3 linked regions of the Arabidopsis thaliana genome follow. The protein of the gene in region 2 interacts with the protein of the main gene of each other region in a pairwise test. Each region holds a gene or a part of one and is shown on either strand. Other genes may lie near its edges. The genes, in order: NRT1.8, IRX1 and CHX6A.

Region 1 (9,731 bases), 1.2 Mb from region 2:
AAATAATTTATTATTGCCTTTAATAATTCTCTGTCCAGAAAATTTTAGATTATTACTTTTCGTATGTTACACACAGTAAAATCGTACTTATACAATTCGTACGCTTAATAAATTTTGATCGTGTAGTCTAATGACTTATAATAGTATCATCGTTGTGTTTATATATCATCTTGATATAAATCCGATAGAATGAACATTTAAATGTAAAAAACTAAGTTTTTTCCTACAGATTTTAGAATTTGAATTTGTTTCGACTTTCTACTCGTGATTATATATATTCACCGAATGAAAACAACAATTAATGAAGTCGAGACGTCAGCCATTTTTTTTTATTCTTATCTTTGAAATCTATAAAACAGTACTTATCTATGGACTTCATAAACTACATATGTGTGAATGTTTAATATTGAACAAGTGGTTATTCTCAATTTTTAGCTCCAGTCACTAACGATAACCACAACAACGTCGTTTTTGCTTGATATAAGCTCTCTCTTATATCATTTGATTTTATTTTCATACATCTAATCTCCAAGTTGCTGGGAACAAAGTCTTTCATGTTTCGATAATTATATTAAATCTGTCCACAACACATGTACAAGCAAGTTCGTATATTATTCCAAATGACAGCTTATAACTCTTTCACAGCCCCATGATATTATAACGTACTATTTTGAACTACTCTGTGTAGAAAAGTTCAAGAACAAAATATTTTAATTATGTAGACCCTTTAAACCACGTCGTTTAGTTTTACGAAATCATCAATTAATGCTACTTTGTTTGTTATAGACTTAATAGTATTAAAAAGGTATGTTAGTCTTGCGATACAATTTTGTTGCTACCGTTTACACTTGAGATAATTATATGGTTTATGCGTACGGTAAATCTTTACATCTGATTAATGCATTATAATTCAGATTGATAATTAATAGACAAACCTTCTTCTGTTCTTCATAACAAGGGTTCTTATAAAAATTCTTATCATATATATGTGATATATGTCATGGCTTACCTAAGATCGGAAGGATATTCTAAGTAGCACTTAATGTCACTAGAGTCATCTCTAACTACAAAATATTCAAACAATGTGGAAAATAAGAAAGTTAAATAAAATAACTGAGAAGCAACTTGCTTGGTTCGCTAGACTTTATGCAAATTGGGTTTATATATTCTGATAAAGTTGATAAGCGATATATAAAACGGGATAGATAATTGAAAGCGCTTATAATATATAGACCATGATGAGCGCTTGTCTTAATCCCGTGGTTTAACAACTAATTACATATTGATTACTTATTTAGAGAGCTGTTAGCCGAAATGCCAAATTGCAAATGCAAGCAAAGTTTGAGTTGTGGAATCAAAAGTCAAAGCTGCCACTTTTGTTCTTATCGTTCTTGCAGTTTCCACGTAGTAGCCGAGCACTTTAGTACAAGAGATATTTTTCTTTTAAAGATCGACCAAAATCGTAGTTGGTAACAAATATATAAATATGACGCCAGAAAAACTATACATTATACATTTATTTACATGGGAATTAACGTTGTACCATGTCAATGTGATATTTATTCTGAGAGTAATACTATACATTAATAGCAGAACGTATCGCATACTGGTTAATGTCAATTGTATTACACTATTCAAAATCAGATTTGCATGTTATTTAATCGTATTTATATAAAAAGGTTTACATTAAAAATGAAAACCATATTAACACTATATAAAAACTTAGCCTATTACTAGCTTAACTTTTTAGCCACAACATTAGTCAATTGAGGAATATTTTTTTTGCAAAAAGGTTAGTCTATAGAAATTTGATTTTTGAAGGTCGTTTTCGTTGGAAGACATAAAGCTTCTTGGTTGGGTGAATTTAAAAAATATTCAACGTATTTTTGGAGAACAGCTTGCAGACGACAACATCCTTCAAGTTGCCACTTGAATCCTCCTCAAATTGGCTGCTTAATTAGCATACCTCAAAATATATATCAATTAAAAAAGAACGTCACTTGTTAGTCTTTTTCACGAAATAATATATTACTATTTTTGTCGTTATATATAAGTTGGTGGTTGGCATTTTGTCTTATGGTCCACGTTAATTTCGTGAGAAGCCTTTAGCGTGTTTCTTTTGAGTTTTTTCTTTCATTTGTCAGCTCGAAAACAGGCGGAAATTAAACCAAATTATTATTACGTGTTCCTTAATATCGTGTTTTGTTTGTTTACAAGATATCGTATATGTGATCAACTTATTCTTGCTAACTTGTAATAATCTGTTCTAGTTATACTACCCACTTTATATCATTGCATTGAAGCGATGATGAATATGTCTTACATGAGCTTATGATATAGATTATATATATCCGGTATCTAACTAACCATTTTGAATAAATTTCCTTACTGATGTGGTGGGCAAAAAGTTTACGAGTCGGATTGGTTGGATCCGTGTTGGGTTATATTACATTATATCATATTCGCATTTTAAAAAAAATTTATTGGTTAGGCGTAAATTAACTTTTGATATATGATATAATCGCATAGTTATTCAAATGGTATAGTCCAAACTTTCCTTCCAATACAGCACAACCATTTACCATGTTCACATACAAGTATACGCATCACATACTTTACGTGATGATTTAGAGATATTTAGATATTAGTCTGATTTTAAGTTCAAAGACACGATAAACCAAATAGTTATATTACATCATTGAGACTTGTAAAGATTTCATGAACTAATTCTAATCATGAGAGTAAATAGACTTTAAATTGAAAAGTACTCTAATGAGAAGAGTAAATAAACTTAAGTGAAATATTTCATATATATACTGTAACTCTAAATCCTCAGGGAATCAGGAATTTATAACTCATATTTGAGTCCTATTAAAATAAGGTGTTGGATTTTGATTATATATTTTTATTTGTTGTTATGATTGAATTTTGATTTATGCAACACAAATATATATATAAAGAGAACGACTTTGTATTGCTTAGTAAATTGTCGTGGACAAATTGGATTTTAATCAGGCGATATTAACACTTCAACTGCCGATCATCCATATCAAAACCTAAATCAAGGTATGTCCGTTCAAAACTACCACTGTTCTACATTTAGTATTTAAACCTAAACATTTTTTTTTTTTAAACCTAAACTTGTTCTTAACCAAGATGCACGTAGTATCTTGTGAATGGTTAATTAACTTAATTTAGTAGGACGTAACAAAGTTATAGGACATTACTAGAAGTCTAGAACATAGTTCTTTCGTGATCATTAAAACTTCGATCCAAATTTTTTTGACACAATGTGTATTAATTTAGATTGTTCGATTCAGATTTAGGTCTAACTTTCTTAGGTAAAAAAGCTGGAATTTGTAAATATCCCCAAGCTTCAATGAATCTAGACATTAATTCGACAGATAAGATTTGCGTAAAATACTATAGAAGATTTAGATGTATTTCATATTTTCACTTATCTAGGTTTCATAATTAACCAATCAGCGAATTGGTATAAATTAAAGTTTGGATTGCCAAATACCAAACATGTTTGTATTTATCCATCCAAATATGAAATCAAATATAATCCTATTTTTGAAAGATAAACAATTCTGTTCACAAAAAAAAATCAGAAAGAAAGATAAAAACATAGTATATGTGAGACACAGAAAAGGATCTAACACAACAAAAAGAAAATTACCAAAACGTATCAAAGATTTAGACTTAAATTAGGGCTTAAACATGGATTAAGAATAGAACCAATTATAATATAAGTTAGGAGTGAGGAAAGTCGTAATCGAATACAGCTACACACGAGCGTAGCGTGCTTGAAAGAGACACCAAATCCTGTTTTAGTGGGGAACTTTCTTACTTTCACTTTTTCCCCTCTTTTTTTTTTCCTATTTAAGAACAATTATTTGGGGTTTTTACTCTTTTTATTTTCCCTCATGTTTTTTGATTTTATCAGTCTCTTCCAGCAGCCCTCCAGGTGTAACTGGTCACACATTCGCTTGGCTTACCTTTAACCAGGTGTTTCTCCTTCTTCATAGATTTTAGGGATGCCAATTTTCAATACTACGTTTTAAGTTCCTATACCGTAATTTATGGTTTTATTCGCATATAACAGTGGCATTTCCGTTTTTTTCCCACAAAGTCAGATTCTCTTCAAATTAAAATTTTTACATAACTACTTTTCGTATTAAATAAATATTTTAGAACGAAAAAGATCATTTAGATTTATCTCTTTTAATTTTTATTCATAAAAACTAGTTAAAAAATTAAAATAGCATATGATTATTATTGAGATAACAAAATTCTGTCGAGAAAAATCCACCGAACATATATTTTAGCAGCCCGTTTCAAAACCTTTACAATTAAATTGATTAAATTAAACACCATAGAAAGAAAGAGACGTCAAAGAAAGGATCTCTTCTGAGTTCTCTGACTCAATTTCTGAGCTCTCTATAAATATAAGCTCTCTTCTTCACACTTTTAATGCAACTCTCAATATCACTATTAAATATCTTTCTCTTTTCACTTCTTCACTTTCCTCGATTCCTGAGTTTTCGATCCTTTTGTTCTCTAACCACCGGTTTCCTCTTTAACCGGTCTCTGGATAATCATCATAATCATTAGGATCATCAAGATAAGGAATCTTTTTGAGTATATCTCTACACCAAATCGAATCTATGGATCAAAAAGTTAGACAGTTTGAGGTTTGCACTCAAGACGGTAGCGTTGATCGTCACGGCAATCCAGCTATCCGAGCTAATACCGGCAAATGGCTCACTGCTATTCTCATTCTAGGTAATGATTCTCTCTCTCTTTCTCTCTATATATACCACTGTTCTTTGTCTTAAAGTGTTGTGTTTTGGATTCTAAAGAAATGGGTTTTTGGTTGATATAGTGAATCAAGGACTAGCTACGCTTGCGTTCTTCGGTGTAGGAGTGAATTTGGTTCTGTTTCTGACTCGAGTGATGGGACAAGACAATGCAGAAGCGGCTAATAATGTTAGTAAATGGACAGGAACTGTCTATATCTTCTCTTTGCTTGGTGCTTTCCTCAGTGACTCTTATTGGGGACGTTACAAGACTTGTGCTATCTTTCAAGCAAGTTTCGTTGCAGTAAGTGTCTTCAACACTGCTCTGTCTTTTTCTAGGGTTTGTTTCTTTAACAATAAGTTAACATGTTTTAATGGATTATAGGGGTTGATGATGTTATCTTTATCTACTGGTGCGTTATTGCTTGAACCAAGTGGTTGTGGAGTTGAAGATTCGCCGTGTAAGCCTCATTCGACGTTTAAGACGGTTCTGTTTTATCTGTCGGTGTATCTAATCGCGTTAGGGTATGGTGGTTATCAGCCGAACATAGCTACTTTTGGAGCTGATCAGTTTGATGCGGAGGATTCCGTTGAAGGACACTCGAAAATCGCGTTTTTCAGTTACTTTTACTTGGCTCTGAATCTTGGATCGCTCTTCTCAAATACTGTCTTGGGTTACTTTGAGGATCAAGGGGAATGGCCGCTTGGATTTTGGGCGTCTGCTGGCTCTGCTTTTGCGGGGTTAGTGCTTTTCTTGATTGGCACGCCAAAGTACCGACACTTTACGCCTAGAGAGAGTCCTTGGTCTAGATTCTGCCAAGTGTTGGTTGCTGCAACAAGAAAGGCTAAGATTGATGTGCACCATGAAGAGTTGAATCTCTATGATTCTGAGACTCAATACACTGGAGATAAGAAGATTCTTCATACCAAAGGCTTCAGGTAAGATAACCAATTAAAAGTTCTGTTATAATCTCAGAAACCATCGTCAAGATCAGTGTTAACTCTCTCTCTATTATTTTCTACAGATTCTTGGATAGAGCTGCTATTGTTACACCTGATGATGAGGCTGAGAAAGTAGAGAGCGGATCGAAATACGATCCATGGAGGCTCTGCTCGGTGACTCAAGTCGAAGAAGTGAAATGTGTATTAAGACTCTTACCAATCTGGCTCTGCACCATCCTCTACTCTGTGGTTTTCACCCAAATGGCTTCACTGTTCGTTGTGCAAGGAGCAGCGATGAAGACAAACATCAAAAACTTCCGGATTCCAGCTTCAAGCATGTCTAGTTTCGACATTCTCAGTGTCGCCTTCTTCATCTTCGCATACAGGCGGTTTCTTGATCCACTCTTTGCAAGACTTAACAAAACAGAACGCAACAAAGGTCTCACTGAGCTTCAGAGGATGGGGATTGGGCTTGTGATTGCGATAATGGCGATGATTTCCGCAGGAATCGTAGAGATACACAGACTGAAAAATAAGGAACCGGAAAGTGCTACTTCGATCTCAAGCTCCAGCACTTTGAGCATTTTTTGGCAAGTACCTCAGTACATGTTGATAGGTGCATCAGAAGTGTTCATGTACGTTGGTCAACTCGAGTTCTTCAACAGCCAAGCACCAACCGGGCTAAAGAGCTTTGCAAGCGCGCTATGTATGGCTTCAATATCTCTTGGGAACTATGTAAGCAGTTTGTTAGTTTCCATTGTCATGAAGATCTCTACAACAGATGATGTGCATGGCTGGATTCCTGAAAATCTCAACAAAGGACACTTGGAGAGATTCTACTTCCTTTTAGCTGGTCTAACCGCTGCTGATTTCGTGGTTTACTTGATTTGTGCCAAATGGTACAAGTATATTAAATCTGAAGCAAGTTTCTCTGAGTCCGTAACTGAAGAGGAGGAAGTCTGAGTCAGGAGCTAGAGAGTTTTGTGTTTTATTTTAATGCTGTGAAGCTTTTTACAGTAATTTGTTTAAAGCTGAGCTTGTTCTGTGATATAAACTGGTCTTATTGTGTTTTTATTTTTGGGTTATACTCTTGTGCAAAGTTTAGTTGATGTTTCTCAATAAAGGATAAGTTGATTCCACAGTTCCAACACATAGTTTATGTAACTTTTCTCATAACCTTTGAATCAGTCAAAACCTAAACACTTACTAGTAGAACAGTAAAAATTTACAATATTAAATCAAGCTCTTAATGTTGTAGTGAAAACAAGGACTGTTAACTATGGAAACTGCAGAAAAAGCTTTGTGGAAACTTAACAGCCTGAGAACAAGCTAAACGTTCATCCTTAGGTCTTATCTTTGTGGCCACTCGAGCTGATGCTTCAACTCAAGAGTTTCTATGATACAAAAATCGCGAACCGCCTCAAATTGTTGTTACATCAATACAAGAGAGGCAACTCTCGCTGTCTTGATCATCATTTGGCGAAGAAAGGAACTTGACAAAGAATTCGTCTTGGTAGCTGTTTTTACCAAGAGAATGGAATTAATGTAGAATGTGGTTCGTTCTTCACATGGTTTTATTTTTAAGAGTATCTTCCCGAAGATGGCATCCGTTGCAGAGACCGTTGAAAGTCCGGCTTTAATCGCTTGTTTGACATCCCACCAAATGATCTAAACATCAACAAGAAACCGGTTTTTAAAATATATCAACTGACATTTTTATTTTGATAATCATATAGATATAGTCAAGAACAAACCGTGGAGATCCTTGTCGTTTATGCAGAGGTTGACCAAGCATTGATCTCACACTGGACAGTGCTCTCTCAGCAGCCTAAAGGTAAGAACGTCAGAGAAGGGAAAAGATGGGATCAGAATAAACCCGAGGCAAGAATTTAGTTGAGTTACCTGCATTCTAGCTTCGTCCCATGTCGATCCAACTCCTTCCCCTACAACACGCCCATCTATTTCAACCTGAAATATATTACAAAGAGTATCAAGAGGGGTCTACACTCTAGATACTTCAAACCAATTGAATAGATATGAAATATACTGATGGCCCTGAAGAGAAAATCATGAATCTTTCTCTTTTAACTGAAAATTGTCTATCTTAGATTTTTTTTTTAAAAAATTTAACACTTCTGTGTTCTAATCTTTTAGGGGTGCGAACCTGAGCATGTAATTCATCTCTGTGGACCATGTCAGATGGAAGCTGACGCTGAGATTGAAAAGCCATCTCAAGACCCTCCGATGCACACTGGAATTTGGTTACAGATGAATCAAAGATGAGAAAAAACAATATGTGAATGTAAGCAAGCAACCATATCAATCAACAGTATCCGCACTAAGGAGATACATACCAATTCCCTGAGTGCAGTAATGGAGCCAGTGTGCCTCATAGAACCTTCTAATCTCGGATCTGTAGGTCTAGAAGAAACTGGCAACGCTGTTTCATCTCTAGCAAATGGCTGATTATTAAGCGCATTTGCGTTTCCCATACTTATATTTTCATTGGTGAAGGGGGTAGCATCTCTGTGGCTGGGCCCTGGGTCACCATTTGCACGCATATATCCATCTGCAAAAAAAGGAGTAAGAACTCAAGAAACTGGAAACAAACGAACAACAATGAGTTTAAAGCCTCATTATAAGAACAATGTGAATGAAGCCGACCAATATTAAACCTGAGCCAACTGCCACAAATCCAAGATAGCTCTCACCCTTGTAAAGGGAAGGGACCCACAGTTTTGATATCATAACATACTGACACGCAACCGTTTGTGGTGGCAGTACTCATACTCATTGATATAAACCCATTTATGAGGACCAACACGAAGCTACAATAGATCTATTAATATTACAGACTAAACAGATTGGTTGAAAAATTGAGATCTACACCCAATATTGTGAAGATGGTTTAGAAACATCAAACAAATAACATTCACCCAATATAGCAGATTCAAACAATCTATCTCAAATAGTATCTCTGCAGACAAAGATTAAGACACGAGTAAATCATGAGTCAGAAAGTCTTACCAGCTAAATTCTGTATAGAAGCTTCAGCAGCCTTATGCAGGGCTTCTCTTCTCGATTTGCCAATCCCTTCTCCAATTTTTTGATTAGAAAGCCAAGCCTGCAAAAAAAACATAGATTTAATGTACAGTTGACACAATCAACAAAGTAACCTCACTCAAAGGAAATATAGGATCTCAAAGAGCATAAGGTTCCACCAAAATTACTGACACCATACAAACAGATACGTCTAAGAGCAATACGTACCTCAACAGAGAACCGCAAATCTGTACTAGAAACTAAACTTGGTTTGTACTCCACCTACAATGTCATGGAATAATAACACATCAACTCACGTATGGAATTAATGGTAATCATGATGATATTTACATACCTTAGCTCCACATTTGATAGCAATTCCGTGTAGAACATCAGCTGAAGTCTCCGTTGCTGAGACACTTCGTTCAGGTAGGAAGTCAAGATCACTGTTCCTAGAGGAAGATTGATTCCAAGACGCATCCTCCCCTAGAGAGTCCATCCCAATACCCAAGTCAGTGATTTATCTTCAGAACAAAATGATACAAGAACAAATAACTTTGATGGCTTACCATAGAAAGGATGAGAGTCAGGTAGATTGTTATTTGAACGTAACTGTTCATCTCTCCGGAGAGACTGCAAATATATCACAGTGAGCACTAAACGTCGTACAGCAGTATAAAGACCAAAAAAACTGACAACTGTAAAATCATAGGTTAAATAAGATTAGTGGTACCTCCTTTGGCGGCCTGCGATTCTCATGAAGCATCCTGTCAGACTGAGTTGAGTTATCAATCTTAGAAAAAAATGATGGATGACGAGGCCTGTGCTTTTCCATATGAATCATTTCAGAATCCAACGGATATTCTTTTGAGACTGCTCGACGAATTTGAGCAGGATCCATCTCCTCCTCAACAGGAAACCAGCCATTTCTTGATTGCACATGTG
Region 2 (11,091 bases):
GGATGATTTTATGCTCTGCCCTGGATTTGATCGTGTAATCTAAGACTCCATTGATTTTGCTTTTGTAAATAGTTCATCGATATTAGCATTAGTCCAGTCCTTATGCATTGAGGTGGGGACAAGAAGAATATCATAGGAATCATATTTTTTTGTAACCCCCATACATGAATTAATAAGGGAGGTCTTTTAAAAAGTTTTCGGACAGAACTCAGATTTAGGCAGAAAAAAGAAATACATGCATGAACTAAAGAACTAAGAAGTTGTACACTGCAAGAAACACCATTAGAGTCACACTGTTAACACTTTGTTATAAACGATGCGGTTTTTGAGTTTTTTTTTTGTTTCACTTTGGTCAGAGACTTTTTGTGAGGGTTTACTTCTAGAAGACGGAGTGAACAAAATGAAAATTAGACCTTAGAGCTAATATGGTCAATACACTCATTGTCCTTCGGCATTTAAAATGGTAATTACATTTTTGTTGACTAAATTAATACTACACTTTATGATAAATTAACTAAAGACAACTAAATATACAATAAATGAGTCATTTACACATTAAAAACTAGATTTAATTCATACTAGCGTTTTCACAAACATTCAACTATGTTTACCCCAAATTCAACAACACCTAATGTGTAACGTCAACAAAGATTATTATCTCACATTTTCTAACTTGATTTTCAATCTAATTATATTTCTATCAAAATATGTTAAAAGAAATAATTAATTTGAACTATTTTTAGTAATACCTCTAAAAATCTAACTAGGATAAAAAAAAAAAAAAATCTCATTGTAAACTAACTTCGAAATTAATTTTCTTAATTTTACCTCACTTTCATGTTGAGATATGATTTAAGAAAAACACAAAAATGGCTAAGCATTTAAGAAATAATTTAAAAAAATAATTAATTAATTTAATATATACAAAATCACACTAATGCTACCAACAAACTACAAACGTTAGATTTCAATCCATAACAAATTTATGGGTATAGTAAAAACACACATTAAATGTCTTTTCTTTCTTCTCCTACCTTACAAATACGAGAAAGAACAAAGCTAACACAAAATCGGAAAAAGACTTCACTTTTTTTTTTTTACTAATTAATTAGTTTTTTTTTTCTCCTTTCCAAAACAATGGAGAATTTCGTCGACGAGAATGGTTTTGCTTCTCTAAACCAAAACATCTTCACACGTGATCAAGAACACATGAAAGAAGAAGATTTTCCATTCGAAGTCGTCGACCAATCAAAACCTACAAGCTTTCTTCAAGATTTTCACCATCTTGATCATGATCATCAGTTTGATCATCATCATCATCATGGCTCCTCATCTTCACATCCTTTGCTCAGCGTCCAAACTACGTCTTCTTGTATCAATAATGCTCCTTTCGAGCATTGCTCTTACCAAGAAAACATGGTCGATTTCTATGAAACTAAACCAAATTTGATGAATCATCATCATTTCCAAGCAGTGGAAAACTCATACTTCACTCGTAATCATCATCATCATCAAGAGATCAATTTGGTCGATGAACATGATGATCCTATGGACTTGGAGCAAAACAACATGATGATGATGAGGATGATCCCTTTTGATTACCCTCCTACAGAGACTTTCAAACCTATGAACTTCGTAATGCCAGATGAAATTTCATGTGTTTCTGCAGATAATGATTGTTATAGAGCAACAAGTTTCAACAAGACCAAACCATTTCTTACACGAAAGTTGTCTTCTTCTTCTTCATCATCATCATGGAAAGAAACCAAAAAGTCAACCTTAGTCAAAGGACAATGGACTGCTGAAGAAGACAGGTTCGTTATTAACACAAGAAACCTCAAGAATCAATTAACATAATCAAGACTTTTGATGATTACACTATTCTAGAGGTTTTTACTATAGTCACCCGTTTTTGCTTGTAAATGAAGTTTTCTTGTTTTGGATAATATAGGGTACTGATTCAACTCGTGGAGAAGTATGGATTGCGTAAATGGTCGCATATCGCTCAAGTGTTACCGGGAAGAATCGGGAAACAATGTAGAGAGAGGTGGCATAACCATTTGAGACCTGACATTAAGGTATTTTACTAGTAGCTATAAGATCATGTATTGATGATTATGGAACCTAAAAGATAAAGATTGTTGCAGAAAGAAACATGGAGTGAAGAAGAGGACAGAGTGTTGATAGAATTTCACAAAGAGATTGGAAACAAATGGGCAGAGATTGCGAAAAGACTCCCGGGAAGAACAGAGAACTCGATCAAGAACCATTGGAACGCAACAAAAAGAAGACAATTCTCTAAAAGAAAATGTAGATCTAAGTATCCAAGACCTTCTCTGTTGCAGGATTACATCAAGAGCTTGAATATGGGAGCTTTGATGGCTTCTTCTGTTCCTGCAAGAGGTAGACGCAGAGAGAGTAATAACAAGAAGAAGGATGTTGTTGTTGCGGTTGAGGAGAAGAAGAAGGAAGAGGAGGTGTATGGACAAGACAGGATTGTGCCTGAATGTGTGTTTACTGATGATTTTGGATTCAATGAGAAGCTGCTTGAGGAAGGATGTAGCATTGACTCTTTGCTTGATGACATTCCTCAGCCTGACATTGATGCTTTTGTTCATGGACTCTGATTTGTATTTTTTATTCTGCTTGTTTCAGTTTTGTTGTTTTTTGTTTGTCTTTTTATACGAGACAGATTCCACCAAACTTCAATAATTTGAAAAGATATAAAATATTTTGCTTTTTAAAAACATGTTGATGTTGAAACAATAGAAACCTAACTTGCGGAACCCGCCAAGACTTGTTGCTAAAATAAGAACATTACTTAACTTGTGGCTCAAGCAACCATATGAAAATTTATAAAACAACCAAAACACATATGATCAATCTTTCAAAATACAAACATAACGTATCTTCTCTTAGCAATCGATCAAAAGACAGTTCAGAGAAAGGGAAGTCGTATCGGTTTTGGAGACGAAAGGATTGATACGAACCCAAACAAGTGAAAACACAGAAGCAAGCAAGATAGACCAGAGAATAACAATAGTAGGTGTTCTGTTTTGTCTTCCCATAAGACCTTTGAGGAATGGATAAAGATGAAGAATCACCCAAAAGGCGAAAAATACCTTCCCAAACAAAGGTCCCCAAGCTTCATAACCTTTGTTAAGAGCGTCAGAGAATCCAGCAACAACTCCGACCAAGTTGATTATAAGAAGTGACGTCGGAGGGATCAAGAGAGTTGTCCATTTGACAATGTAAAGCTCACCGAATTCTAAATCATCTGCGGTTTTCGATGTGACTGTGAAATTTGTGTCGAGACCAGCGAGCATTTTGAGGAATCCTTGGAAAACGGCAAAGAGATGAGCTGAGACACCTCCAATAACCCAAAACTGTTCGTTTCTCCATAAGTCTTCGATACTGACTCCGCTCCATCGAAGCTCGAGGACACTCGTTAAGATGATTGATATAAAGAGACCTAGAAACAGCATGCTTGCTAGGTTTGATAGCTGCAATAAAGAACAGAAACAAAGATCAAATTCTCAATCTTGCTGTAACCTAACCAAAGTAATTAGTAGTATGAAAAAGTTACCGTTGGGATGATAAATTTGCCGGTAAGAAGGCAAATAGCTGGAAGAGTACAGTAAGCAACAAGAGGCAAAGAAGTGAATGGGTAGACAATAGTGTTTATATAAGCTAATCTCTGGAGCAACTTGAGGCGGCCTCCGCTGCAACCGTACCACAAAGGACAATGTCGGCTAAGGAAGATCTCAACCGAGCCAAGAGCCCAACGTAGAACCTGGTGAAGCCTATCTGATAGATTGATTGGAGCAGATCCTTTAAATGCTGGTCTTAATGGCATACAGTAAATCGACCTCCATCCACGACAATGCATCTTGAAACCCGTCAAAATGTCTTCGGTGATCGACCCGTAAATCCATCCTATCTGCGAAAACAGAACGAAAGGTTATAAAATGTACTCACAAGAGAACTTTGATATGAAGAAACAAGGCACTTACTTCTTTTCCCCATTCAGTTTTCTCTTCGTATCCACAGCTAATGACATGAATAGCTTCTTTGATGAGCGTTGACGGGTTTACAGAGTCGGGAACACCGCCATTCTCCATAAGAGTAGACTCGATGAAAACCGTAGAGAGACCAAACGTTTTCTCAAAGCTTGTTTGTGAAATCAGCATCGATCTGTCGTACTCATCGTAGTTGTCTAGGTCCCCAAGATTAAAGATTGCAGCATCAAGTTCTTCTCGCTTTGCATCTTTGTAAATCTCGGAAGGATCTTGAGGTTGTTTCTTCTTGGTTAGACAGCAACACGACGATGATGAAGATTGCGGTAAAATCCTCGGTTTTGAAGGTGGACTGTATCCGTAAAGTGCTTGTCTTCTAAAGACAGTACCTGTACCAACATAAACTGGACCTTGAATCCCATCAAGCCCTCTCATATTAACCTGAAAACATCATATCAAAACCACAAAATATCATAAGAAATCTCAAAACTTTGCTTGAAGTTATGAGTATGAGATAACTTACATCGAAGAAAACAATGTTGCGGTTAGCATATCGATCACTCTTGTCGATTCCATCAAATCTCTGTGGGAACTGAACAAAGCAAACGTCTTGACCAACAACAGGATCCATTAAAAAGCACATTGCTTCACGCACGGCTTTGCTATTGTTGACGTAGTGATCACAATCAAGGTTAAGAATGAATGGAGCATTCGTTAAAACCGCAGACACCCTCACCTACAAAGAACAAAATCATTAGGATTGTGCTAAATTGAACGATAAAAGAAAAAGTTTTGAAGTTTACCAATGCGTTCTCTGCCCCGGCCTTTTTGTGATGCTGATAACCAGGTCTCTTCTCTCTAGAGACGTAAACTAATCTTGGAAGTTCATTTCCTTCAATGTCGCGAGCACCGCTATATCCAAGAAAAACCTGCAAGAAAGAAATTACGTGACTAACAAGAAAAGACAGAGCATTTCAGGTCAAATGTTTTAGCTAGCAAACCTGAATCATCCCGGGATGGTCACGAGTGTTGTTCCCGGGCCAAGATGTTCCATCTTGCATTGTCCATCCTTCTTCTGGTGTCTTTTGAGCCTTGGCGACTAAAGCATTCATTCTTATTTTAAACTCTTCATAATCTCTCTACAAGAAGAGAAATTAGACATTAAGTTTTCGATTCAATCATCGGTTAACGCTATATGAGATTAATTTAAGGTTTTAAAGCCCTTGCTTACTTACTTTCATGGCTCTACGTTCTTTCACAAAAGAAGGTTGAACTTTATCCCTCAAGTAATCGATTTTAAGCGAGAAGTAAAACTCGGGAGCTCGTGGCTCGATGGAGTACTTTTTGCAGAAAGGTACCCATTTCCTAGCAAAATCTGCTGTCTCAACCAAAGACTCAAACGAAAGCATTGCAGCACCATCATCAGATACATAGCAAGAGACTTTATCCACCGGATAATCAAGCGCGAGGATCGAAAGAACCGTGTTTGCAGTTATCAAAGGTGGCTCCTTTAATGGATCTACCGTACTAACAAAGAAATCTACAGCTGCAAGCTGTGATTGCTCGCCTTCTCTTTCGAATCTGCATAGTTTTGATAAATGGTTTCATAAAACTTAAAGATTGGTAGTAACTGCGCAGATTAAGCATATAACGGTTATAAAACATTTGTAACCTTGCGGATAACCGGTCGATGTAAGTTTCTCGGTTAATAGGAGACCATTTAGGGAACTGATCCAACACCCAAGAAACAGCAAACCAAATCTCACATATCACAGATGTTAGCCATAAACCGTAAGCGCTATCGACAGGATGCGTGATACGGTAGTTAAAAAACAGAGCCAAGATGATCAACCGCATGATGATGACAATCCTATATGAAGTGATTTTTGTCCTTGGGATAGGAATCACAACCGAAAGCACATCTGTAGCACCAGATTCTGTGTTCCTGAGAATACAAACGGCAGAGACCAAATCAACGTCTCAAACTTTTTGGTGAATGTTATTAGATTAGTACGAGGATGTGCTTACGGTGGCGTATCTTCCATGTGCTGTTGGGTAGGAATCTGAGCCTCATGTTGTTCAGCTTTTGTTGCTTTTGGATCTTTCTTCTTCTTCTTGCTCTTCTTGTCTTTCTTGTCTTTCCAGCTCTCCACTCTGTTCTTCCAAATTGGATTGCCATATTCATCATTCAGTTCTTCAGGAAGAAACAACAATCCCCAAGTTAGTTAAACTATTAATAACCTCACCAAATGTATACAAAGATTTTGGCTTTGTTTCTTAGTTCTTACCACTGTCTATTGTTGAGACTGTACTTATATGTCTAGCATGAATCCCTGAATCCTGAAAAAGTCAAGATAATGTTCTCAAATTTGTAAAATCTAATTAAGACATAAAAGCAACTAATCTTAGCTAAGCACACAAACCTGAGAAGTGTTATTGGTCTGTGTTGGAACAATGGATTGAGTTTTAGATGTCTTTGTCTCAACATCATCAAACACATTCTCTATGAAAGCAAAACAAAACAAAACAAGTTATAAATACTCTTTAACCAAAAAATCAAACTTTCGAATAAAGTTTGTAAATTTATAATTGTACCATCGTAAGGATTGCCGCAACGCAAGCAAATTCTTCGACCTTCTTTGAATTCATACTCAAGACAAGCTTTGCAGATCGGGAAACTACACTCATGACAAGCCACAAAGAACTCTCCGTTTGATTTTACACCAATCTCTTCACCACAAGTGTTGCAGATGGGAGACCTAGACTCCATCATCTTCGAATTCCCCTGTTTGGAGAAACAGAGAAATGAACCCTAATTAGGGATTGAGATTTGGATGGATAACAAGTTTGAGAAGCCATGAGAGTGGAGGTTTTGTAATAAGAGGAAAAAAAGTTATTAAAAAAAGTTTGGTGGATTGTGAAAAATCGGAAGTTGAGAAGTTTCTTTCACTGGTTTTCTGAGAAAGCTGATGGGTAAGCTAAATTTGGAGCTTTTTTGAAATGATTTTGCGGGAAAGTGAAGGAAAGTTTTAGTTGAGAGGAGTGACACATGTTCTTTGTCTCTAACCAGCGGCAGATACTAGCTTGCTTGCCTCCTAAGCGTCACCGTACTTTCTATATCAAGCTAACATTGAAGTTGTTATATCCGGTTTATTCGGGTCGGGTTATTCACCATTGAAGTTGTTATAATTTTTAAGTAAATCTTTTCAATCACCAACTTTCTATAAGAAAAATAAGAATTAAAATCACTTTTTTGAATCAAATTAATTTTAGCATTAAAATATTTAAATTTATAGTGTAAACAATTATTTAAGACATAAAATTAAAATTTATAGTTAAAATTATAAGACACATATGTATCTAAAAAAAATATTTAGTTTTTTTTTTATTTAGGTAAATGACAATTTGTGACAAATATTAAAGTCTTAAACCTAAAATTTTAATTGTCTTTGTCAGAAGAGAATTTTCACCGTTTACTACTAAAGAAAACACTCGTCATTTGGTTTAATATCTCTAATCTCTATAACAATTTGAGCTTTAGCTGTACCAAAAATAAATTTTGAGATATAATATCACTTCTCTAATTTTGTTTCTGCTTAATCACTTCTCTGTTCATTAACGTTTTTTGCATAATTCTACTCTACATTTGCAATGTTAGAACAAATCAATCTACACTCTTAACCAATTCAGTCTTTGCATCATCACATCTGAGTTTCCTCTGGTCTACTGTCTCAAATAAAACCGTTGACCAAATACAGCAAAACCATCCATCAAATTCGACCTTCTGATTTTGCTCAGATAAGTTGTAAGGGTTGAAGAATACTAAAGTTATGGGTTTCTACGTCTCTGTGGAAACAACTCTCTCTGACATTTCTAAACTCGACCAGGAAGAAGATTGTGAGCTTCTATAAGAAACAAGATAGATGATGAAACTGATGTATCCAACTACTCCACCAAAAACCAGAAACCCAACAAGAAACCCTTCCACTTCAGCCATGAAGAAATCTAGAAGAAGATACCCATTTATCATCATCACAAACACCGCCACAGTCCAAGCTAGCTTCTGCAAAGATCCCAACTAACTCGTTACAATCAAAAGCACATAACAATAAAGAGAGATGACAAAAAATTGCTTTACCTCAAGCGAAGGTCCGATCTTGAAGACACCCATGATATGTTCATTAGAAACCATAGTCAAAAGAGGAATAACCGCGAAAGGAATCTGCATCGACTGAAGAATGTTAAGCCATTCGTTTAAAACATCGAGCGAGCCCTCGGATGTGTTAAACATAATAGCAACAAACATAGTAGGTACAATAGCAAAGCTTCTCGTTATAAAAGCTGATAGCCATTGTTCCATTTGAAGATCTAAGAACCCTTCCATTATAAACTGTCCAGCATAAGTCCCGGTTATAGTACTGCTTTGTCCAGCAGCTAATAAACCAATCCCCCAAATGTATAGTATCGGGAAAACACCACCGCCATATTTCTCTTGTAGGTAATATCCCGCGTTAACCAGTCCTATACTATCAGCTTGTTTGGTTCCATAAAACCCTTTCGCGAAAACCGCAGTTACAAACAAATTGATCATGAACGAAACAAAAAGCGCGGCTGACGATTCGATTGTATAGTAGTTAAGAGCTTCTTGAACTCTGTTTATCTCCTTTGGATCCGTCTTCCTAGACTGCACTAAAGCTGAATGCAAGAACACATTGTGAGGCGTTATTACACATCCCACAACTCCAACAGCTTCTCTAATCGTCTTTGATCCGAGTTTCGGAATAATAATACCTTTCAAAATCATCATCAAGATAAAACCAAATCAAGAAATGACATCAAATAAGAGACAATGCTTAATCTTACAAACTTACCTATGAATAGTTCTTCAACACTTGGCTTAGTTTCATTAAACATCCAAGCGAACGAAAGCGCCATTGTCGCAATCAAAACCGCGAAAAGACCTTCTAATTTCCTCATTCCACATTTCTCCAAATACGAAATCAAGAAGCTGTTTTTTCACAAACAACACAAATCAAAACTTGTGTTACAAACAACACCGCAAAAAGACCTATTTTGTTTTTTAATAACTCAGGTGATCCTAAAGGCGTTCTAAGCCAAAGACCTAGTTTTGCTTACCAATCAAATGATGTGATGATAACACCAACCCAAATAGGTAAAAACCCTCGAGTCAAAATCTGAAGAGCGATCGCGCTTCCGATGACTTCTTGAATATCAGCTCCGATCAAAGCAACCTCCGCCATGAACCAAAGCAAGATTCGCGCCCACGAAGGATACTCACTTCGACAAATCTCCGCTAAATGTCGACCCGTGGCGACACCGATACGAGCAGAGAGAAGCTGCATCAGAAGTCCCATTAGCGTCGCCCATAGAAGAAGCCATAGGAGAGAGTAACCAGCCACAGCTCCGGCTTGTAAATCTCCTTCGATATTTCCTGGATCTAGAAACGCGATGCTCATGAGAAATCCAGGTCCGGTGAATTTCCATAGCTTTGCCCATGAGAATGGCGGAACTGAATCGTAGGTTTTGTCTCTGTCTTCTTCTACGTTCAGGATCTGATTCTCCGGTGGCGATTCGTGAAGCTCGTCCTCCTCTGGCTGAGAGGTTTCGGGAACTAATAGACGTTTGAATTCGCCGTTACTGTCGTTTGGTCTCTTAGGGCTGTTTTCTTGGCGGGAAACGGTGGATCCCGTCATCTTAGTAACGGAATATTCTTTCGGCGTTACTGACGACGTGATTTGTTTTAAGAAAATTTTAAAAGATTACATGGATTATTTTGATAAAATTAAAATTAAAGTCAAGAATAGTCAAATGAGAAAACAAAAGCAAATTCTAAAAATGAACTGTTATTAAAAGTTTCTATTATTAGAAACTGAATTGTGATCTCTATTTTTTTGACGAAAATTTTCTAAATTGGTATAACAAAAATTAGTTGTGTTCAAGGATTAGCACAATAAATATTGGTTTAGAGATATTTGCGGATTGAATTAAAAACAAACCATAGACCAGAACCGGTTAAATTACAAAATCCCTTAACCGGTACAGAATCAGACCAAAGCTAAGCAATTTTCAAACAAGCAAATCAAAAGGCATAACATAGTTTGTTTTCCTAAAAAAAAGCAAACATCTTCAAAAACAAAATTTGAATGTAAAATTTAAAAACCGATTTCAGCTTTAGGACATAAGACCATTTAGTTGGAGCAGCAACCAGTTTTCTTCACTGCGGAAACATCAACATCGATCTTCTCTCCTTTCGAAGGAACATTACCGGAATCTTCACCAGCCTCCATTGCTTTCTTGCTCACAACATGGTAAATCTGAGTGAGTACTTCAGAAAACGCGTTCTCAACATTGGTAGATTCAAGAGCTGAGGTTTCCATGAAGTAGAGTGATTCATTCTCTGCAAAAGATTTTGCATCTTCGGTTTGGACTGCTACAAGATGGCGAAGATCGGATTTGTTTCCCACAAGCATCACAACTATGTTTGGGTCAGTGTGGTCACGGAGTTCCCTTAGCCATCTCTCAACGTTTTCGAATGTTGAGTGTCGGGTTACGTCGTAAACAAGAAGCGCCCCAACAGCTCCTCGATAGTAAGCACTAGTGATTGCTCGGTATCTAAAAATAGCGAAAAGAGGAGAAACAAAAACCCGTTAACGACTTAGTCATTGAAACTCTGTTAAATTAGAAAGATAGGAACATAATAAGAACCGAAATGACAAGAAAGACTTCAAAGCAATAAGCTCTTCAGCTTCAATGGTAGAAAACGATCATTAAAGAAATCGATATCGTCATCAGAATTAACGAACATATAGAAACACCATGAACATATACGATACCGAAGATTATCATCAACCACTGGTTGATCAAACTAATCAGCAAAACAACAGAATTTCTACAAAGCTGGTAACTTTAAGCATAATTGTTGAGTTCTCTCATTATACACAAATACAATGTACACTTCACCTCCAGTAATTATATACACGATCACAGGTTAGGTTGATTTCTCAAGCTTTCTCTACGATAAACTGATTCCATTAACTAAGACAGATCTAATGAA
Region 3 (10,585 bases), on a different chromosome or scaffold from region 2:
CTTCGAATTCCATCCAATCCCCGAGTCCTCTGGTGACTGTAGTACCAACCCCACTTCTTCGACCGACTATGAATAGATCATAGTCGTAAGACACGGAGTGCAAAATTTTGGATGTCTCTGTGCCATCTCCCACCGTCCAGTCAATGATGGTTGACTTATCTCCAGGCCTTTGGTCTTCATGACGGTTCATGTCTACCATTTGGCTATGAATCCTCAAGCTACTCTCATCGGCATAAGACGTAGGGATCAGACGCAAGACCGTTAGAATCACTTGTTGGTTACCTCTCATGTGGTCAGCTAATGCCAGGGCCTCTTTGTCGTCATTCCCACCCACGTAAATCAAGCACACCTGCATTTAATGTATGAAAATAAAAAATATTCAACATCATTTAGAATAAACAAAAAAAAACAAAAAAAAAAGAATGTAGTTACTTACACGGCACGGAGATTCTAGGGCTTTGGTTTGCCAAATTGGTTTGCGATAAACAAAGATTCCGACAGAACAAGGGGCGCGTTTCAGAACATTAAGATTAAGACTTCTTAGGGTTTGATCGTCTGAGATAATGACATTTCCGTTAGGCTCCCAAGTGCGGTGAAACGAGAGGAGAATAAGATTGGAACCTTGACTAAGAGCAAACCAACATATTTGTTCATGCATCTCTTTAGCGGAAGTTAAAGACGTGAACATGTTTATGGAAGCGGAGTCCCAATAAACCTCTTGAAACAGTTGGAAAGAGCTTATGACATTTTCGGAATAAGACCGACTTCCAGGCTTTGGTTTTTGAAGCTGGTGGGAGATAAACGTGGGAGTAGCTTGACCCAATAACTCTATTAGGTGAAGAACACAACATTCCATTGGAGAGTCTTTAGATGGGGAAGTTGCTCTAAGAAGGCTAATCATCGATGTTATGTTGTCAGGCTTGTTGATGCACACCAGCGTTTGCATTTCTGGCTTCTCTTTCAAGTTTCTTCTTCCGTAACACACAAATCTCTTAGACCGGTCATACAGGAAATGTATAGCCATTGGTGTTAACAAAGAGTTTACGAGAATGTATACGCCCAGGAGCGACAAGACCTCCAGACTAATCCTCTGTTAAAAATGAGAAACATTAAAACAGAAATATATATACAAATTAAGATGATCATCATATCCGTTATATGAGTATAGCTAAAATATTCTTACGTCTTTTTCGAAGGCTGTAAGTACGTAACCCAACTCGAAACTACTCTTGGTGCCCATAATGACACCTAGGATAATTGAGTCTCTCAAAGGTATCTTTGTAGCTAAGGCGGCTAAAAACGAAGTAGCGAATTTCGCTATGTATACGATGGGAAGGAAGGAAAAACACTCGTACATATGTCCATGGAGATGCCTTCCATTTCCAAACTCCTTTCGTAGAAATGACCAATCTAGTTTGATCATGCTAAGTGATCCAAAGAGGGGTAAAAAAATGCCCTCGTTGAAGCTATCGAATTTTTGTATAAATACTGATCCTAATGGCGGCCCGTTAGGGACAGCCAAACCAAGAGCAAATGCCCCTAGCGGTCCGAAGAATAAGAAGCGGCTCCAATAAAGATAAGATAAGTAAGCAAGCAAGAGACCAATGTAGAGATAGACGTTCTTCACCGGGGCTCCTTCTGGCGTATGTCTTATAACCCAAAGCATAAATTGTCGCACAAGGTACACAAAAATAAAGAATGCCATAAAAGCTAATCCCATTTTCACTCCTTGAGTTTCATCACGGCTAACGTAAGCCGATACAGTCAAGAAAAAGGCAAGCAAATCTGTTACCATTCCCGCTGACTGAGCTATTTGGCCGAAATCAGTGTGAACTATCTTGAGGTCAGTAAGCAACATGTTGACGCAAGTGAAAGGCGTCATGCTCATTGTGAATGTCATTACGGTATACTCCATTTCTGTCATGGTCAGAATACTTGATTTCTCTCTAGATGAATAAAGGAGTTTTCCTATTTGCCATGGGATGATCATTGAGGTGATCCCAATTACAACACTCTTAGTTCCTGACTTTTTCATTATTCCAACATCTGTAGTCACTCCCCTTAGAAACCAATCTAGGACAAAAGCAAATGCGCCTATAGTATCAGGAACCTTTGTCATATACTGGTTATAATGGATAAATATATGCTTTAAACATGGTATTTGCATAGATCCAAACATCTCACTTAAGACTGCTCCGACCTTCAAGAACAAGAAAAGAAAATGTGTTATATTATTCGAACATCCCCAATGACATGCGGATATTTGAAACCCGTAATTACGTACAAGCATCATGGAGGTGAACTTGGGGATAGGAACACCTAACTTCTTGAACAACATATCAAATAAACGCCATAATAGGAATATGGAGAGAATAATGATCTCCAATTGTGGAAGAGGGTACTCCCAAAAATCCATTCCCTTAGATCCGGAAGCCATTTTCTCTGCAACGCCATGTGAGTTCAACATTATATGTGGACTTACATCGCAAAACATCTTCGTCCCCATCTCTGCTCTTTTCTCATCGTTGTTCCACATGAACTCTTTGCGCCAAGTCGCATTTTCTGCATCCATTTGGGACAAATCTTGTCTACGTAAAACCAAAAAGAACAAAAAAAAAAATTGACAATGAAAAGATTTTGCAGTCAAAAAAAGAACTAAAATTAAAACCGGTCTGATGGTTTCACACAGATCCCAAAGGATCTCTAAAATTAGGATAAGGGTATAAATATAGGGATTGTCTCGTCCAGGTGTTGTCTTTGTTTTTGGCGCTTGTAAGTTGTATTACTTTAAAATAAAATGACCTCTTTAGGCAGTCTAAATAAACGCTTTACCCATTTTTAATAAGATGATCCATTAATTAAGACCTCAAATTCAATCTTTTATCAAAGGGAACAGAGCAGAGTACTCTGTTAGGTACCAAAATCTCTTTTTGTTGAGAAAAACAGAGTATTTTGCTCTGTTCCCTCTGATATCTCTAACACATACTAAACTTAATTATAACGTGACAAAGTGTGTATGTTAAACAGACCCTGTTACTACAAGAGAATATATATTTTTGAATTGTGATAACAAAGGCAGCTATAGTTGGAAGGCGTTATCATAGAGCAGGCACTGCCACAAGAAATTACTCTAATCTTGTTAACTCAAAATTTGATTAAAAAAATCGTGAAGTTTATATCATCATATCCAGAAGAAACTCGAATCAATTACTCCATAACTTCAAGCAGCCTAAAACTAATGTTTATTGATGTAGAGAAATACAACATTGAAAAGCTGAGCATTGAACATATCTCGCATTATTTCTTAGAAAGATTTTCTCCTTTGGCTTTTTGTATGATGAATGTACACTTGTTTTTGAACAACCAACACTGATGCACTTGAAGGATATTCATGTGATGCTAATAAATCTCCAATAGGTCCCAATTCATTGAACTCTGTCCATTCACTAATTCCGCTAGTAGCCTCAGTTCCTATTCCGCTGCCGCTTCCAACGATAAACAAGTCATAATCATTTGCCATTGCTCGTAAGATTCTTGAGGTCTCAGATCCATCAGAAACCGCCTTATCGATATATGTCACCTTGGCATCATTTTCTTTGATGTTGGACCCAACGATGCTAGTCACGGACTCCTTTAGGTTAATCGATTGCTGTTGCTCCCACTCATCGTTATCCATTTCAGAAGATTTTGGAATGAATCTTATGATCGTTAGCCTTGTTCGTTTTTCTGTCAGTCTCATTCGATTTGTTATCGCCAAAGCTTCTCTATCGTCTTTTCCACCGTTAAAAATCAAACATATCTGCAAAGATGAGAGTTTTATCAGGTTAAAAATGCTAATATATTAGTACCATTTCTTTTGTTCATCATAAATGGTAAAGGAAAATGAAAAGATTTTCTTTCAGCATTTAATTTCATTTAGACGTTGCAAAAATATTCTTTTAGATTTTATAAAATTCTGAAATTTGTATTTTCACGTACCCAAACGGATAATTAATTAGTTTTCAAAATAAAATGAAAAGCACCTTGCTGTGGGACTTAGCCATATGAGATTCAACGATGGGCTTGCGATAGACGAAGATTCCAACAGAGCATGGGGCTCGTCTCAGGACGTTAACGTTGAGCATTCTCAGATTATCATCGTTGGAGATAACCGTGGATCGATCAACGGACCAGGTTCGGTGGAAAGGAAGCACAATCAAAGATAGGCTTCTGGATAGGGCTAGCCAACAAATGTCCTCATGCATGTGTTGGGACACGGAGACGGAAGTGAAAATATCCAACGATGTGTATTCAAAGAATTGTCTTTGGAAGCCACGGAAGGAGATTATGACATTGTCAGACAGAGAAGTACTTCCGGGCTCTGGTTTTTGCAACTGGTGGGAAATGAACATAGGATTGGCTTGACCCACAAGCTCGACGAGGTGAAGTATGTTACACGCCATTGGGGAATCTTGTGATGGGCTAAAAGTTTCCAAGAGGTCGGTCATGGAAGTTATGTGATCAGGTCTGTAGACGCACATAAGACATTGGAGAGCCGCACCGTCTTTCAAGATGCCCAAATTCCTTTTTCGGTAGCATCTGAATCTTTTGGTTGGGTCATGCACGAGCTCCAAGAGCATTGGTATAAAGATAGAGTTCAAGAGGGTGTAGGCAGCTAGGATTGTGAAAACCTCTGGCCTTATTAGCTGTGAAACATGTCCAAAGATTTGATTAATTTTTATGAAAATAAACTAATTCTTCTGACTTTAAATATATATAGAAGAGTTTAATTGTACGCACCTTTAATTCAACCGCGTACGTGTAGTAGGCGAGCTCGAAGATCCCCTTATTACTAAGCACAAGGGCTAAAGCAAAAGAGTCTCTCAAGGGCATTTTAAAAGCATACGCGGTTATGGTGGTAACAACGAATTTTGTGGTATTCACCAAAAGAATAAAGGAAATGACCTCATAGATTTGACCCTCCATCCGTATTAAATCTCCACTCTCTTTGAACAACCGTAAGAGATCTACTTGCATCATGGTTAATGATCCAAAGAGTGGCAAAATAGAGCCAAGATTAAAGCTCTCAAACTTTTGAATCAAAGTAGTACCTAAAGGATATCCATTTGGAACCGTCAAGCCGAAAACAAATGATCCCGCGGGTCCAAAAAGATGAATAACCTTGTTAAAAAAAGTGAAGCAGGCGAAAGCAATCCCAAAAATCGAGTAGAGGTAGAAATCCTTGACCGGCCTCCCTTCTGGAGTCTGCTTGATCACCCAATACATAGCCGGCCGCACAACGCATATCATAACGACGACAAAGAGGCAGAAACCTACGGTTTGCATGAAGCCGTACAATTTTTCGTAGTAGATTGCATTAAAAAATGTTACACCAAAAGCCAACATGTCAGTCACCATAGCCCCAGAGAGGGCTATCCTCCCAAACTCTGAGTGTTTGATCTGGAGGTCTTTTAGGAGTGTGTCGATGCTCGTGAACGCGGATATGCTTTGCAAGAATATGATCAACCTGTATTCCATCCTTAATATGCTTGAGTCCCCTCTTCGTTCTCTATATCTAAAAGTGAGGCTGCCACAAATCAAGGGTATAATTACTGTAATGAATCCGATCACACTAGACCTTTTCTCCGTCCTAAATGGCAATTCGGCATCCATGGTCACACCTTTGAGGAACCAATATAAAACGAAGCCGAAAGCCCCTAGGGTCTCGGCCACCTTTGGTCGGTTATCATCAGGGAAAAAAATGTCATGGATCCAAGACTTGTTGCTGAAATGGCAAGTTTGACCTAAAATTATCCCTGCCTTCAACAACAAGGCATTACAACGTTTAGGAATATGCACCGTACTGATTTTAAAATTTAAAACGTGGAGGGAAGAGGGAGATTAAGAAAACTCACGATCATCATATATGTGAATCTAGGTACTCGAAGACCAATTTTGTTGAATGAGATGTCGAGAAGCCGCCATATAAAAAAAGTAGAAAAGATTAAGATCTCGAGATTCGGGAGCGGATATTCCCAGAAGTTCATCCCTCTCTTGAAAGTCATAACCTCCCATATCCCGTGCGAATTTACTATGTGAGGGTGTGACTCGCAGAAGATAGACGAGTTCTTGTCTTCATTGAATTCTCCCCATGACACGTCCCAATAACTCATGTCTATCTCCTCTGTAGCCATTTTAAGGAGAAAGACAAAAGTTAACGAAGAGACTTGCTTAGGGATCAAGAAGATCTAATGGAATGATTTAGGGTTTGTAATTCGATTGGGAAAGAAGAAGACTAGGGATGGTTTTGTTATAAACGTTGACTAATTAAGGTCGAATAACCAGCAAACAACAGATACGCATCTCAGGTACAGTTAATATTTACCCATTTTGTTTTCTTTTTATAGCTTCATTCTTCTCCATCTCTTGTTCCTTGTCAACATTAGCACACGTATGATTGTACATCGTCTATTTCACCAATCAACAACGCCAAAGCTATACATATAACGATATATATTTAGGGAATTTTGCATCCACTTGCACACTTTCTCAGGGATATATATATTTTTGTTTTGACAATTTTTTCTATGTTTGGTGAAATAGGAACTTATACTTTAAAATCACCATACAAATTAAGTCATTCAAACAGCTAAGCATGCAAATTAAACCAAATAATATAGCAAAGGAAAATGGATACTAAAAGAGTCTTACTAATCAAGGCAGGGTAAGATAAATAACAATATAAACTAAAGAATATTGTACCTAGGTCAGGATACCAAATTACTCTCTTATAAAATTTCTCCAAATTCAAAATTACTAATTAATGCTTGAACCCTACGTATACGTAAAGCATAATCACAGGATTAAGATTCTTCCAAGTAGTTAGGCATTAAATATTCATTGGCTAGTCGTATTTGTGGTCTTAAGACTATAAAGAAATGAGAACAAGTGTAAATCACCTACAAACCATTTTGAACTCAATTCCTATTGGTTGGTAATAGATTCCTCTAAAGGTTTTAATTGGGTAATTTCATTGAATGTATACTACGTGCGTGAAATTCTCATCATTTTTAATGATCAAATTGGTGGCAAGTAGGTCTTTTAAGACTATATACTAATTTGCTATGTAATTTATTTGTCTAGTTTGCTTATTTTTGCCGTTTTTCTTTATTGTATAGCGAAAAGGAGATTAAAACTTGTAAAACATGTAAATAGATGTAACTCTCACATTGAATGTTAATTTAATTATAAAACATGTACTATTTTTTTCTGATTTCATTGTTTTTAAAAAATTATGTGGAATCAATTAAATTTAAAGTCATATTTGCAAATGTTATCATCACAAGGCCACGGAGACGAACTGTCACTTAAAAATTTGGGGCTACAAATGTGTCTCGTGTGAGAAGTGTATTTCTATTTTTTGTATCTTATAAATGAATAAAGAGTAGTTGCCAATGTAATATCATCTACAAGCTACATTCTGTTGTTGTTGCACCACCAACACCGACCCTCTACGGGGAAAATCTTGAGACACCAACAGATCTCCAATCACACCTAACTCATCAAACTCCGTCCACTCACTCAATGCACTCACCACGTCGGTCCCTACTCCGGCGCTCCTCCCCACCACGAATAAATCAAAAGAATTAGCAATCGAGAGAAGGAGTGTTGATGTGTCGGAACCGTCGTTAACTGTCTCCTCTACGTATTCCACAAAACTATGTTGTCCAACAGTATTGTTATTGTTCCTCAGAACCTCCTTAACCTCTGCCGAGTCCAGCATCTGATCCCACCCTGTAGTCATCCCATCCATTTTCGCTGGGATTAGCTTCAACACTGTCAGGTTCACATTCGGATTCCTCATCATTTGCCTTCCCAATGCCAAGGCTTCTCTGTCGTCTTTCCCGCCCACGAAAATTGCGCAGACCTGGTTTTAGACAAATCAAGTTTCACACGTAAACACAAATTCAAGCACGGAAACTAATGATTAGCGTATGGAACAATCAAACCTTCAAATATGTGTTACCTCAAAAGACGGACTGCTCTTTTGCGCAGATAAAAGCTTTTGACGATGGACAAAGATCCCCACGGAGCAAGGTGCTTGTCTCAAGACATTTAAGTTAGCGTTCCTACGCATGACATCGTCTGAGACCACCGTTGTCTGGTCAAGGGACCATATAATGTGGAAAGGGAGCATGAGAAAAGAAGCTTGTTTGTCGAGAGCGAGCGAGTAAATCTCTTGATGCATGTACCTAGGGTTTGAGATGCATGTGAACAATTCCAGCGATATCGATTTCCAGTAATGTTTGAAGTTATCAAAAGCGATTAGGACGTTGTTTGAATAAGACCGGTTTCCAGGTTCGGCTTTTTGCATTTGGTGGGAGATAAAGACTGGATTGTCTAAACCCACAAGCTCGACGAGGTGAATCACGTAGCAACTTATTGTGGATTCATGTAGAGGAAAAGACTGTGCTAGAAGGTTGATCATCCCTGAGATGTGGTCTGCTTTGTGAATGCACACTAGAAACTTCAGCTCTGATCCAAGCTTCAAGCTCATTAGATTCCGCTTCTGGAAACTAATGAATCGTTTTGACGAATCATATAGGTAATGTATCAACACTGGTGATATCGTAGAGCTCACTAAAATCATCGTTGCCATAATCGTGAAGGACTTCACATGAAGAACCTGTAACACAACAAAATAATCTTATAAGACAGAAAGAAAAAAAAAAACATTAAGTGTTGGAGAGTTGAATTGTCTTGAATATAAAGTTAAATATGGGAACTCACATTGCTTTCAACTCCATACAGAAAATAACACAGCTCAACAATTCCTTTGTTGCTGAGGATGAGTGCCATAACGAAAGAGTCGGTCAGAGGCATTTTGGCTAGCAATGCAGGAATCATTGAGAAGATAATCTTGGCGACAAAGACAACGATGATGATGGTCAAGGCTTCATACAACTGACCGTCAAAATGCCTTAGTTGACCGATCTGGTTAGCTAACCAAGGTCCATCGATTTGCAGCATTGAGAAGAACAAGAAAAGTGGCAAAAGGATTCCAGTGTTAAAGCTTTCAAACTTTTCTACCAGTTGAGACCCTAGAGGAGGACCGTGAGGCACACACAAACCCAAAAGGAAGGGTCCAACAGCCGGAAACATGTGAATTTCCTTCAAAAAGTAGTAACCACCGAAGGCTAAAATGAGTATGATGTAGATGAAGCATTCCTTCACCGGTCTCTCTTGTGGTGTCCGTTTGATCACCCAAAACATGGCCGGTCTCACAACCCAAACCATGAATATGACATATCCGATAATTCCTACGCCTTGCAGCGCAGAAACCCTCCAGTCCATCCAAGCCACAAGGGCAAATAGATTAACACCAAAACCCGTTCCATCCGCCACCATAGCGGTCGAAATCACGATCCTGCCGAACTCTGAGTGGTTGATCCGGAGATCCCTTAATAGCCTTGAGATACCCGTGAATGCCGAGATGCTCTGCATGAATAAAATTGTTCTGTACTCCATTCCTGTCAAGTATTTCCCCCCGGTCTCTCTTAGCTTACCAAACACCATGTTGGCCGCGATAATGGGGAGAATAACAGTGGCAATTCCTGTTACAATCACTTTCGTACCTGTCTTCCTAACCATCCCAACATCCATTTTAACACCTTCGATGAACCAATAAAAGACAAAAGCGAACCCACCTAGCGTCTCAGGCACTTTTGGCCTAGTATCATCCGGGAATAAAATGTGCTGGATCGTCCAGTCATTCGGCAAAAGATTCGTTTGGCTCAAAGCTGCCCCGGCCTTCAACATAATTTTCCGATCAATCAGTCAATGCAAACAACTTTTATACAAAAGAACAAAAGAGGAAGAAAGGGTTCTTACAATCATCATGGAGGTGATCTTTGGCACAGGGAGGCCTATCTTCTTTAGGGATAAATAAAAAAACTGCCATAAACAGAGAACTAGGACGATTACGCTCTCGAGATGGGGAAGACTGTAGTCCCATATCTTCATCCCGCGTATAGGTAAATCTAGCTTCTCCCACACGCCAAAAGAGTTCACAAGAATCGGTATTTGTTCGCAGAACTTGGACCCGTCTTCACTAAAGCCATATCCATGATATGAGAAATCCCCCCAGAAGGTTGCGTTGTATGCCCCCTCATATGCCTCGTTACGCGACTCCATTTCTCCTAGATTCTTTTTCTTCTCAAGAGAAGAAAAAGATCAAGAGAAAGAGATTTACAGTTTCCAGAAAAAATTACAAAATCTTGGTGTTACATTGTCTTATTAGAAGAAATTAACACTACTAAAAATAGTTGATAATCTTTGTCTCTCTCTATTTTTTTTTTTTATCTTGTTGTTGTTAACTGTCTGTTTACGTACCTGGCGACTAATTTATATGTTTGTTTTACCTCTCTGCTTATTTAAGAACCTCCATCAATTTGTGTCTATCCAAGTTTTGTTAGAGATCCCGACATATACGGATTTTGCATGTAATCTTACGTTATAAAAATCTTGATGAAGTTATTAAATCGTCATATATTATTAGAAATAAAAATCGAATCACTTACAGAGCAATAAAAATGTAAAGCATTTT

The links.
Region 1: the proteins of IRX1 (region 2) and NRT1.8 interact in a protein complementation assay, tested with the Arabidopsis thaliana proteins (one large-scale study listed by BioGRID).
Region 3: the proteins of IRX1 (region 2) and CHX6A interact in a protein complementation assay, tested with the Arabidopsis thaliana proteins (one large-scale study listed by BioGRID).

What each region holds. Positions count from the first base shown.
Region 1 is NC_003075.7:11,514,516-11,524,246, reverse strand, and holds NRT1.8 (NITRATE TRANSPORTER 1.8), read left to right. Parts: upstream 1-4,441; 5' UTR 4,442-4,670; coding exon 4,671-4,788; intron 4,789-4,888; coding exon 4,889-5,106; intron 5,107-5,187; coding exon 5,188-5,741; intron 5,742-5,827; coding exon 5,828-6,707; 3' UTR 6,708-6,894; downstream 6,895-9,731. Other genes in the region: CPL1 (C-terminal domain phosphatase-like 1), read right to left, coding at 7,325-7,412, 7,499-7,572, 7,647-7,712, 7,909-7,995, 8,099-8,313, 8,772-8,868, 9,015-9,068, 9,142-9,272 and 2 more. UniProt on the Arabidopsis thaliana protein: Low-affinity nitrate transporter. Involved in nitrate removal from xylem sap. Not involved in oligopeptides transport.
Region 2 is NC_003075.7:10,309,931-10,321,021, forward strand, and holds IRX1 (cellulose synthase family protein), read right to left. Parts: upstream 6,957-11,091; 5' UTR 6,790-6,956; coding exon 6,612-6,789; intron 6,520-6,611; coding exon 6,440-6,519; intron 6,357-6,439; coding exon 6,305-6,356; intron 6,211-6,304; coding exon 6,045-6,210; intron 5,962-6,044; coding exon 5,689-5,961; intron 5,598-5,688; coding exon 5,252-5,597; intron 5,156-5,251; coding exon 5,018-5,155; intron 4,946-5,017; coding exon 4,820-4,945; intron 4,753-4,819; coding exon 4,540-4,752; intron 4,458-4,539; coding exon 4,014-4,457; intron 3,941-4,013; coding exon 3,587-3,940; intron 3,504-3,586; coding exon 2,916-3,503; 3' UTR 2,694-2,915; downstream 1-2,693. Other genes in the region: MYB98 (myb domain protein 98), read left to right, coding at 1,138-1,814, 1,952-2,078, 2,148-2,627; NRAMP5 (NRAMP metal ion transporter family protein), read right to left, coding at 7,855-8,079, 8,155-8,807, 8,888-9,024, 9,153-9,730; RABA1d (RAB GTPase homolog A1D), read right to left, coding at 10,226-10,649.
Region 3 is NC_003070.9:2,548,902-2,559,486, forward strand, and holds CHX6A (cation/H+ exchanger 6A), read right to left. Parts: upstream 6,329-10,585; 5' UTR 6,174-6,328; coding exon 5,895-6,173; intron 5,800-5,894; coding exon 4,780-5,799; intron 4,686-4,779; coding exon 4,023-4,685; intron 3,800-4,022; coding exon 3,305-3,799; 3' UTR 3,034-3,304; downstream 1-3,033. Other genes in the region: CHX6B (cation/H+ exchanger 6B), read right to left, coding at 1-349, 437-1,090, 1,184-2,200, 2,285-2,572; ATCHX5 (Cation/hydrogen exchanger family protein), read right to left, coding at 7,442-7,906, 8,006-8,665, 8,770-9,789, 9,871-10,173. UniProt on the Arabidopsis thaliana protein: May operate as a cation/H(+) antiporter.